Regions from separate parts of the Mus musculus genome. Here region 1 is reported to be linked to region 2. The links are microRNA targets in miRTarBase. Many come from high-throughput screens and were not tested one by one. Region 2 holds a microRNA gene; the other region holds the end of a gene's coding sequence.
What was found. Region 2 holds the annotated microRNA mmu-miR-1188-5p (UGGUGUGAGGUUGGGCCAGGA, at 2,480-2,500, shown strand). A microRNA usually pairs through its seed, bases 2 to 8, with sites in the 3' UTR of a target mRNA and lowers its output. Matches are read on the target gene's strand: a 7mer-m8 pairs with bases 2 to 8, a 7mer-A1 pairs with bases 2 to 7 and ends in A, and an 8mer does both.

Region 1: miRTarBase lists Sh2d2a as a target of mmu-miR-1188-5p. Seed matches in the 3' UTR shown: 7mer-A1 at 1,456-1,462, 7mer-A1 at 1,627-1,633 and 7mer-A1 at 2,853-2,859.

What each region holds. Positions count from the first base shown.
Region 1 is chr3:87,851,781-87,857,150 of GRCm38, forward strand. It overlaps Sh2d2a (SH2 domain containing 2A), which reads left to right. Exons shown (of 7, transcript NM_021309.3): 6 at 1-95; 7 at 287-3,942. The coding sequence ends at 628. Among named protein-coding and RNA genes, the nearest start is that of Sh2d2a, 7.7 kb to the left of the region's middle.
Region 2 is chr12:109,609,362-109,614,731 of GRCm38, forward strand. It overlaps Mir1188 (microRNA 1188), which reads left to right and starts at 2,461; the gene lies at 2,461-2,580. The region is part of intron 2 of Rian (RNA imprinted and accumulated in nucleus); the gene reads left to right. Mir341 (microRNA 341) reads left to right here and starts at 2,139; the gene lies at 2,139-2,234.

The sequences.
Region 1 (5,370 bases), not on the chromosome of region 2:
AGGACCCAGACACCCAGCTCAGCCTGCTCCTCCAACAGGGCCAGGCCCAGGCCTCAGGACACACAGAGAAAGTATGGGCCTCCCAACAGAAGGCGGTACTATATTGGTCAACTCAACCTGTGGGATGGGGGGTGTTGGGGTGTCAGGGCCTGGAGAAGGGGACACAGGACAGAGGAAGAAGCCAGGCTGTCATAGGTAGAGGCTCAGGCTGAGATGGGCCTGGGCTTAGACCCTGTCTCCACGGTTCTCATTAATTTTCTTCCCTGGTCTTGCCTTCTCCCCCTAGACATCCCAGGCATCCAGACCCAGGCCGCCCATCCCCGCCAAGCCTCAGCTTCCTCCTGAAGTCTATACAAGTCCTGCTTCACGACTGCATCAGGCCCCACCCATTAACCCCATCTACCAGGAGCCTGATGAACCCATAGCCTTCTATGCCATGGGGCGGGGCAGCCCTGGGGACGCTCCTAGTAATATCTATGCTGAGGTGGAAGGGCCATCGGGAACGGCGCCCATTGGACACCCCATCCTCCGAAAGTGCTGGTCCAGGCCTATCTCAAGAGGCCAGGTAAGGGAGGTACAGGGAAAGATAAGCTCAAGGAGTCGAGCAGAAAGAGGGAGCCCCTCCTGAATATCGGGCAAGGTGAAGGTCAGCAGGCTGAAGCGAGATGGAGTGTTCCACGCTGCCGAAAACCTTTGCCCAGCTCCAGGCCTAAGGCTCTTCCTGGACATTCACGTGGACTCAGCTTTGTCAAGCCCTACCTGCCCCTACTTCAGGTTTCCTTCAACCACTCTCCATCCCAGGCTGCCTCTCATTGGTCAGGCCTTCCTCACACACATGTGACACTGACCCAGCTCCCTGGAGAGCGTCACTGCCAGTGGGCTCAGAGGAGGAGGCTGCCACACTGTGTGCTCACCCTCACAGTTTCCCCACAGAGTTTCAGTCATGTCTGAATGTGGTATTACTATTAAAGGAGTCAGACTCTTTCCCTTGTACCTGCGTCAGGTCCTACTTCAGGCTTCCTCTCTGCTGCCACCAAAGGTCCCTGCTTGGCCCTCACCAGCCCAGCTCACCTGTACCCTACCAGCCTTCTTAACCCTGGGTCCATCCAGGCTCTGCCAGGGTTCCAAAGCCACTCCAACATCAATTGAACCAACCTCACTCGCACCCTGTGTGGGCGCGCGCATGAGCGCGCGCGCGCACACACACACACACACATGCACCACGCACAGTGTCCTGTGTTCCACACCCTGATTGATTAACCCCCAGCACCCAGCTATCCAGCCAGAAATGTGGGGTCCCTAAACATCTCCATCCCCTTTGCTTCAGTCTCTGTCTGTCAATAATGTCAGTTGCCTCTACCTCCCAAGTTCTGGAATTACCACTGTGTGCTCCTACAGTATGTGGGATCAAACTTGGGGCTTGGTACGTGCTAGACAAGCACTCTATGTCTGAGCCACACCATGATTTCACTGAGTGGCTTAACTGCCTTCCTAGTACCAGGCTTGTCAGCTCTGACCTGTTCTTCCCCGAGGAAGCCAAAATGGGCTCTGTGAGTCAGCTGCCTGGTCCTCCAGCTCTTCCATACTGAGGCGAGGTCCCACTTCGTCAGCCCCACTTCAAGCACCCACACCATATTTCTCCAAACTCACCAAAGGCTACCAAGTCAGTCCTGCCCACAGCAATCCCTACAAGACCGCCCTCCTGCTGCCTGGCAACCCTTAACCCCACTCAAGACCACAAGCCCTTCCCCTTGCAAAGCCTTCCCTGGCCTGACCTCCCAACACACCCTTGCCAGGCCCCTGCTCAGCCCAGACTCCCATTGCTCTTTTTTTCTTCTATCTCCCCTTCCTGCAGAGCCTGATTCACTAGAGGCAGCCCTGGGGGATGCTCAGCTATCTCTAAAGTACTGGCCCAGTGCTTGGCATGAAGCAACTGCCTCAGGGAGGGAGGGGGAAGGGAGAAGAGGAGAGGCAGAGGGATGGACGGGAACCTAAATCCCCTCTGGAGGCCAAAGGGTTAAGACCATATACCTTCTCCTAGAGACTGTAGCTCTGCCAAAGAGGCAGAGGGTATGACCCAGAGCTGTCCTTCTGTCTGCAGAGGACAGATGGTCCAGAGCTGCATTCTGAGGACTGTGTGGCAGAGTAAGACCCTGTCCTTCATCATGAGCCCCCCTGGCCCTAGAGGCTTGCCCTTTCTAGACAGAGAGCACTCATGGCTCCCCATCAGGCCTTATTAGGGGTAAGTCTGATCTGGGAGGGTAGCTTGGGGCATTTTGTGTCCTGAGACCTTCACAGACCCCTGGGTCCTCTCTTAGGGAAGGCAGGTGGGATAGACTACAGGTGAGCAGAGCTTCATCTGCTACACGGATGGCGAGGAGGTGTCACCCCGCGTGCCAGCTCCAATCCATTGGTCTCGGCTGCCTGGCATGCAGCATTGGAAGGATATTAAGGTCAGATCTAAGCTCAGCAGAAAGGAGCAGGTGACGGATGAGTGGCGTCTGCTGTGGGTGCGGGAAGGGTGAGCAGCGTTTCTTTCTCTCCTATCAATTAAGTCCAGTCCTCTCATTATGCAAATCAAGAAACAAGCCAGAGAAGGAGAAAGCCTGGGCCAAGGTCAAGGATTGAAACCCCTCTCAGCATTCCCCATCCGTCCTCTGAATCCTCACTTCTCCACAAGGGACAGAGAGATTTCCTCAGCTAAGAAGCTGGTTGCTCTCCAGAGTTCTGCACTGGGACCTCCCTGCACTCCACCTTTCCCTGTCCCCTTAACAAGTCTGCCTTCCTTGCTCCAAAGCAGCCTGGAAGTCAGAGGACCAAATGTGGGATCTGTGCTTCCTCATAGCAACACACACACCACACACACACACACACACACACACACACACACACACACACACACACACATGCATGCATACACACACACACATACACACACGAATACACACACATGCTTGCATACACACACACATGCACATACACACATACATGCATACACACACATAAACACATACACACACACATGCATACTTGCATACACACACACACACAGACACTCACACTGCTCCCTTCTGAAAGTCACCAGGAACCAAGGCAAGGAACTGTATGTACTAGGGAAGCCATCCTGCCTCCTGTGCCCTGGTTTTTCCTCCTGAAGAAACTGGACTTTAGGAAGCCTTGGCACTCTGAGCCTTCGCATCTGGGCCCCGATCCAATGGCTGCTGTTGTCTGAGAAATGTTTTGGTGAGAACAGATGTTAGGATTTGTTTGTTGGTCCTTGTCTGGCTAATAAATCATTAGCAACAATCTCCCTCCTCGGGAATCTCTGTCCTTCCAGCTCCTCCCCAGCCCTTTTCTCTCTCCCACTGTCGCTCATAGGGGTCTAGAGGTTCAAAGACACTTAGGCAAAGTTATTGATCTTTTGGCTGAAAGTTAAAAACCATGAGGACAAGGACACGGACTCCCTTTGCCAAGTGCTTCTCCCTTAGCTGGGGTAGGCTGGGTGGGCAGCCCGGGCACAGGAGTGGGTGCCTATAGAGATGGGCAACTCAGGACTTGGGAGAAGGGTGCCTTAGCAATCTGTGAGCCCTCAGAGGAGGCAGCTTAAGTCCTTACCTCACTCAGGAGCCCATCCCCCTCCCTGCCCCATTCTATGGGCCTTTCTCCCTTCTCTGCCCAGACTCACTTCAGGACTGGCTTCCTGCCCTAGAGCTAAACTCCTCTAGAGTCCTAGCCCGGGAGCAGTCTGTGCTAGGTCCCACTTTCATCTCACTGGAGGTTTTCTGAGGCTGGCCATGCATGGCCCTACTGGCTCCAGAGTCACCCGAGTCTCTGGAGGTAGCCTTTGCCACTGTTTCTCTCTCTGTGTAGCTCCCCACACAGCTGTTACCCCGATTTACTACAGCTCATTTAAGGTAACATGTGCTTTTTGTGTCCTGTCTCAAAAACAAAAAAACAAAACAAACGAAAATAATGGACTGGCCCTCTGAACCTGTAAGTCAGCCCCAATAAAATGTTGTCTTTGTAAGAGTTGCCTTGGTCATGGTATCTGTTCACTGCAGTAAAACCCTGAGACACTCTCCTGTTGCCTTGACTTCCCTGCCGTGACATGCTTAAAGTGTGAGCTAGGAAAAAAACAAAAAATAAAAACCCTCTCTCCCAGCTGATGCTTTTGTCAGAATATTTTATCCCATCAACAGGAAGAGAAACTAAGATAGCACTTCTTCTTCCCGGCCCAGGCACTCTGGCCCAGCCTGCTCTCACATCTGCCAACAGTCAGACTGTTCGCACTGTAGATCCAGCTGTCCTCCAGACCCAACCTTTCGCCAGTGACTGATCCTCACGACTGCCATTCCCTGCTCCTTGGGGGAATACAGCAGAAAGTTTCAGTATTGTCCCTTGTGCCTGCCTGGAGGACGAGAGACTGGGTAGCAGTGACCCCTCCACACATGCACTCAAAAGGGCTGATCATCCTTAGCTACCTCTATATGGTCCTCCCCCGAATGCAAGCTAAAACCAAAACCCAGCCACTTTCCTGGGCCCCGTGCCATGTCGGCCAACAACAGGGAGGGGCTGGATAGACAGAAGCCCTCACTCAAAGTTCTCCATCTTTCTGCAGTTTGAGTCAGATCTTCAGCCACGTCAGTCTCTTCCACTCTTGTCCTGGCCAGTGACAGTACACCTTTATCTTCAAGGACACTCACTGATGGTTTGTTTTGAGGAAGGATCTTACTCTAGAACCCATAAACCTCCTTCCTCTGCCTTCCAAGGGCTAAGACAGGATGCTTGTGTGGCCAGGGCCTTCTCCCCTTTCCCCCTTGACCGTTGCCGTTAGTCCATTAAGCACACATCATTTCTACAGCTCCTCTCTCTCTGATCCATTATCCATCTTCTCTTCCTGTTCATCGGAGGAAGCCTATTTTCTTTTCTCCTTTTCTCGACCCCGTGCCTTTTAGAAAGGGTCTCACCAAGTAGCCCTAGGTGCCCTGGAAATCAGCGATCCACCTGTCCCTGCCTTCCAAAGTATTGAGATTAGTGTGCCACCATACCTAGCCTACCTTTTGAATTTTGAGACTAAGGCTCACACTGTAGGCCTTAAATTTATGGTAATCCTCCTGCCTCTCTACCTTTAAAGTTCAGAAATAATAGGTATGAACTAACACACGTGCCAGCATTTCTCTTGGTGACTAAGAAATTCCAACCACCAAATAAAATGTCATCTTTGGTAGGATTAAAGAGTGACTTTCAAAAAATGTGGCTGGGAGCTGGTGAGGCGGCTTAGCAGATAAGAGCACTTGCCCTTACACAGGACCTGGGGTCTGGTTCCTAGAACCCACACATGGTAGATAACAACCATCCTTAACTCCAGTC
Region 2 (5,370 bases):
TTTCCTTTCCTGCCGTTTTGGAGATATTTTTTCTCCATTGGGATATGCCCTTCTCAAGGCTTCATCAGGTCAGGTCATCCTGATTATTTCATAGACAAGAAACCCCAGCCACCTTCACAGCTGGCCCCTGAAAGTACACACTCACACATACTCCACATATACTGAGTACAAGCCCAGGAGCAATGACAAGAGTCTCCCATAGAAACTACACAGCACAGGTGTGTCTGGTTGAGGGGTATATCTGCTAAAAGCCCCCAGTGAAACCCCCATTAATAGGCTAGCATTTCAGCCACAGCCATCAGTGCCCAGGCTCCTGAGTCTTCCCACTAGGTAGGGTGCTTTTCCAAGCCTCCCACCCTATTCAGGTCATGCAGCCCTCTGACTCTGTGGCTAGCATCTAGCCTCCAGAAAAGTAGCCTGCTTTTTCTATGACCAGCTGATACCTCAACCAGACAGACCCTTTTTCTATGCCCCCCACCCACTTTACCAGACTGTTACCTTACAGATGATTCAGGCTAGCACTCCTGAAATCAGCCAGAGAAGACTCTTAGCTGCTCCAGCTGGCCCTCCCTTAAGGAGGAGTTGGACAGCTCCCACCAACCCCCACTCTCCCAAAGCACTCTCCCCCAATCACAGTGCTTCTCCCTCAGTGCCTCAGTGGTACTACGCTACCAATCAGGGTGCCATTGCCATTTAACCTCTGGTGAGGGTCACGGCAAAGGCCACCCATCCTTGTCCTGACCCCTGCCAGGTACCCTCCAGCCAGCCCCACTTGTTGGCTCCCGACTGGGCACTGGGGCTGCTTCTCAAAAGCCTGTCCCTTTGGGCTGCTAGCCAGCTAGAGAAACCTGCTGCAGCTTCCCCATCACCTACCGGCCTGCCTCTCTGCTCGGGTGCCTCCAGTAGCAGTGAGCTCTCTCTCCCCAGCCGCTTGCTTGGGGGCTCACGTACTGAGACGCTCCTCTCAGCCCTCCCCTGTCTTTTACATCAGCCTCCGCAGCTCCAACAGCAGCCTGCTTATGTCTCGGCCCTCAGGTCTTTAGAGGAGGCAAGCTCCCTCTCTTCAGGGTCCTCTCTGTGCTGTCGTCAATAGCAAAACCCCCACCCACCCTGAGAATAAATTTGGGGCCTCTTCCACCTGTCTGGGGGTGCTTCTCCTATGCTCTCTTGCCATTGGTTACTGAGCCTTTTGCCCTGCTGTTCTTCCAGCAGCCCAGGGGAGGGCGTGGTGCTCCCCTTAGGGGAGGGGGGGCAGCTGCTCTGTCTCTAGCTCTTAATCAGCTCTGAGACCCTCTCTCCCTCTCTCTCTCTCTCTCTCTGTCTCTCTGCCCCTTCACCAGTTGCTAGGGAGAAGCCTCTGAATGCAAAGCCCCCTGTTTTCTATTTTTTTTTCTTTTTCCTGACTGAGCAGTGGCTGCCTGGCCAGCTCCGTTTGACCTGCAGAAGTGGGAGCTACAAGAGCAGCTGCAGTAGAGCCAGGGGGCTCTCAAGCTGCACAGCTAAGCTTGACTCTCCCTCTGTAGCCGTGAGGCCACACAATTCCCTTTAGTTTTCAGAGTCTCGGGCTTTCCCTGTGAAATGAAGATGAGAGTTTTTCTCTCACCGGCTTGAAGTGAGGACTGAAGCAGATGAGAGTAGCTTAGCCTCCACCAGACACTTTATAAACGCTCGTGGAGTCGCCAGTGGGATCCAGGAGGAGGGTGACATGTAACAAGTGTCATAAGAGAGACAACAGTCTGGCTTTTCAAAGCTCCATGCTGCATACACGCTACAACATCTCCTGGCAGAGTCCCCTCTGCAGGCTTAATCACACAAATCAAGCCAGCCCGGAGGCAGCTCTTAGCCTGAGGAACTCACAGGAGATGTGGGAGATGTGGCAGGCAGCAGAAAGCCCTGCAGAGCCCACATCTGCATTTACTAGCATTTGCATGGTTTATAACAAGCATTTGGGTTTATAAAGCAGAGAGACACATACAGAGATATTCCTTCCCTGTCTCTCCCTTGAAGTGACAGCTAAGATAAGGAGGCAGCATGCTTAGGGCATGGTATAGCCTCTGGGAAATGGCTAACTCTCCACTCATTCACACCAGACACTGCAACACTCTTACCTCCTAGATCACTAGGGTGAGGTTAGGGTTAAAATGATGATGTCAGTTGGCCGGTCGGCCGATCGCTCGGTCTGTCAGTCAGTCGGTCGGTCGATCGGTCGGTCGGTCAGTCGGCTTCCTGTCTTCGAACTGCAATCATTCTTATGAGAAAACAAACAGGAAATACTTTGCCACACACCAATGCAATCAGGGTGGGTGATGGCAGTCGGGATTCAAGTCACCCTAGTTGAAGCCCTGAGCTGGGTGGGCTGTCTGTCCAGAACTCACATGGGAAATTTCACAAAGAGGAAAAGTCTCATGATCTCCATTGGATTGGTGAAGACACCATGGCACAGAAAAGCAAAGAAGTCCAATACTCACAGTCTCCCAGCTGGTGTGAGGTTGGGCCAGGATGAAACCCAAGGCTCTCCGAGGCTCCCCACCACACCCTGCTGCTGAAGACTGCCTAGCAAGGCTGTGCCGAGTGGTGTGGGTGGGCAAAGGATGGATTGACTAGTTATAAGCACCTCCCAGAAGTCCTTGAGATCTCAGCTATTTTGTGGCCCAATCCCTTTGAAGGGCAGGGTCAAAATTAGGTGTAGGCACCTACCTATTAGCGGAGGCTTATGAAAATGACATTATTAACCTGATGCAGAGAGGGCCCTATTCATCTGTAATTAAATTATAAATAGAGTTAGTGGGGGGCTAGGGTCTCTGTGTATTGACTGCAGTCTAGAGTGCTCAGAATTTTCCAGGGCTCTGGTGAACTTTTCGATGAAAAGTGTCACCTCTGAGCATCTGGGGCTTAAAGCTGGGAACAGAGACCTCCTAAGGCAAGCCCCTCACACTAGGGATGTGCCCTATACTGACCCCTTTATGGTGGGAGAGCCCCCGACCACCTCCTCAAACACAAACTTAGACCCTGACCTTCCTCTCATCTCAAGTTGCCATCTGTGAGAGAGAAATGGAAACTGAACCTTCTGAGAGACAATCCCATTCCTGTGTGATAAGAGAGGGGAACCAAACATCCTTCAAAGAGACAGCCTTCTCCCAGAAACTTTCCTGGTTATTGCTACGGTTGCCAGACACCTGTCTGCTTGTCAGAGCTGTATTCAACAGGATAACTCTGGCAACTTCCCTTCCTTCAGAGGGAGATGTGGATGGGGATAGAGGAGTGGAGAGGGGACTCTTAAAAAGGAGCAGAAAGCAGAGTTCTGCATCCGATAGAAGTTGGGCCACTTAAGATTTGTGCCAACTCACGGTGCAGTGGAAATGGTCTGAAATCTTTAAACAGCAGCCAAGAGTCTGTGGCGCCCCCAAGTGCCACAAGGGGGCTGCCTGGGCTACAGTTTTTGCGTTCCCAAATGAGGAGGGGGGAGACACGAAGAGGGACCTACGCTTTGGATTTCTGCGGCAGCGCTTTTAATTGCAGCAGATGCAGAGGACGCAGGCAGGCAGGCGGGCGGGCGGGCGGGCGGGCGGGCAGGCGGGCGGGCGGGGGGCGACAGTGTCCCGGGTGGCTTCAGGCTGCACCTCTCCCACAGAGACTGTGCTGCAGTGCAGCAGGAGCTGCGGCGGGCGAGTGGCTGAGGGTCGGAGCTGTCCAGTGTCTGCTTTCCAAAGTGAGGAATGAAAGATGAAGGAGAGGGCTTGCAGGCAGTGCGAAGTGGCCAGGAGCCCAGGAAACCCAAGGGAAGAGTGAAGAAGAGCCTGTGGTTTTTGCAGGAGGGCCAGAAAAGTGTGGGCTCTGGGAACGATGGAGAGTCATAAGGGGTTAGTGGACCAGCAGGTCTTGGGGTCTCAAGGTGAGTCAGTTTGCTGTCCTGTGACTGAGCGCAAACTCAGGCGGGGGGCTGAGAGCAGCCGAGGCGGGGCGGCTGCAAACAGCGATAGGGGGAAAAGCATCAATTCTTACCTTTCGAGCAAGGCTTAATTAAAAAAAAGAAAGAGAGAAAGAAAGAAAAAAAACGAAAACTAGACAGTGTGACTGAGCCAGTTACTCGATGTGTGTGACAGGTGACAGTGCTGTTCTCTTAACTAAATTGGCACAGTGTCCCAGCAGAAAGATACGCAGGTTGCTGGTTTTGCCCTAAGGAGAGATGCTGCTGCGGGGTCTTTGCAGCTCAGTGGGGAGGGTCTGGCGGTGCTAGAGGTCCCATCAGGGAGTAGATGGTGTGAATCTGGTGGGTGTCTGTTTCTAGAGTGCCCCCCAACACTTTCCCTTCAGTCCACCCAGTTTGCAGGGAGTGTTTCTTCGGTCCCGTGCTGTTTCAGATCCTTGTAAACCAGCCTCAGGATGCTGTGTTTCCTTTATTGAGTACCCAAAGCCCCCTCCGAGCTGTTAAGCGTTTCTCTGGACGCCGTCGGCACCTCTGCACTCCATTTTTCACTTGTTGATTAAAAAGAAAGTCAGATTTTATTATGCTTTTTTTTCCCCAGACACCACAAACGGATAAAACAATGTGTTCTTAAACAGCACAGTTTTAACCTGTATTTCATCTTCCAGATGTAGTGCCCATCAAATTCACACACACCCCTGCTTCATGTGAGCCCTGGACACCCCCCTCCCCTCCCACTGTTAAAGTCCTCATCTTTTGCACTGGTTTGAAGCTAATTCTAGAGATCATATTGTCTCTTCTGTGTATCTCAGAATATTTATCTCTAAGCAAAGCCGTTTTCCTTAATAAAAACATAAAGATATCCATTGCCACAATCTGTAAAATAAAAATACGTGGGATGCCATTACCACAATTAAGAAATTAACAGCTTTTCCTTTCTGCCATCTAACCTCTATGCAGTGTCCAAATCTGCCTGATGAACTCATAAATTACTTTTATGATTGGCTTATTCAGATTTCTGTCCAAAGTGCTTCCTGCACTTTCAAGGGGACTGTGGGGGTTCTCTAAGGTAAGTACAGCCTGAAACGCAGGGCTTTATACCAAATACAATCTCAGTGAGCCTCGGTTTTTCTCCCTGAAAACGGAGCCAATTCTCAGAGCCTCCCAGGGCCACCAGGCAAATTAGAGACAGGTACACACGCATCCCCCAGCCTCATTTCAAACGGAAAGCAGACACCGGCAGCCAACAGCTGTTACTTGAATTATCTGTTTTTCCCGGAAACCTCTAAAGGAGTTGGACTGGATAGACGAGAGAGCTGGCTATCGTCCACAAAACAAAAGGCTCCTGGCAGGCCATGGCCCCTGAGTGATTTAGCCACTTGGGAGCAAGGGTCGCCTGCACTCCTGGGGGCTAGGTCCGGGACCCCCACAGGGTGCTGGTCCAC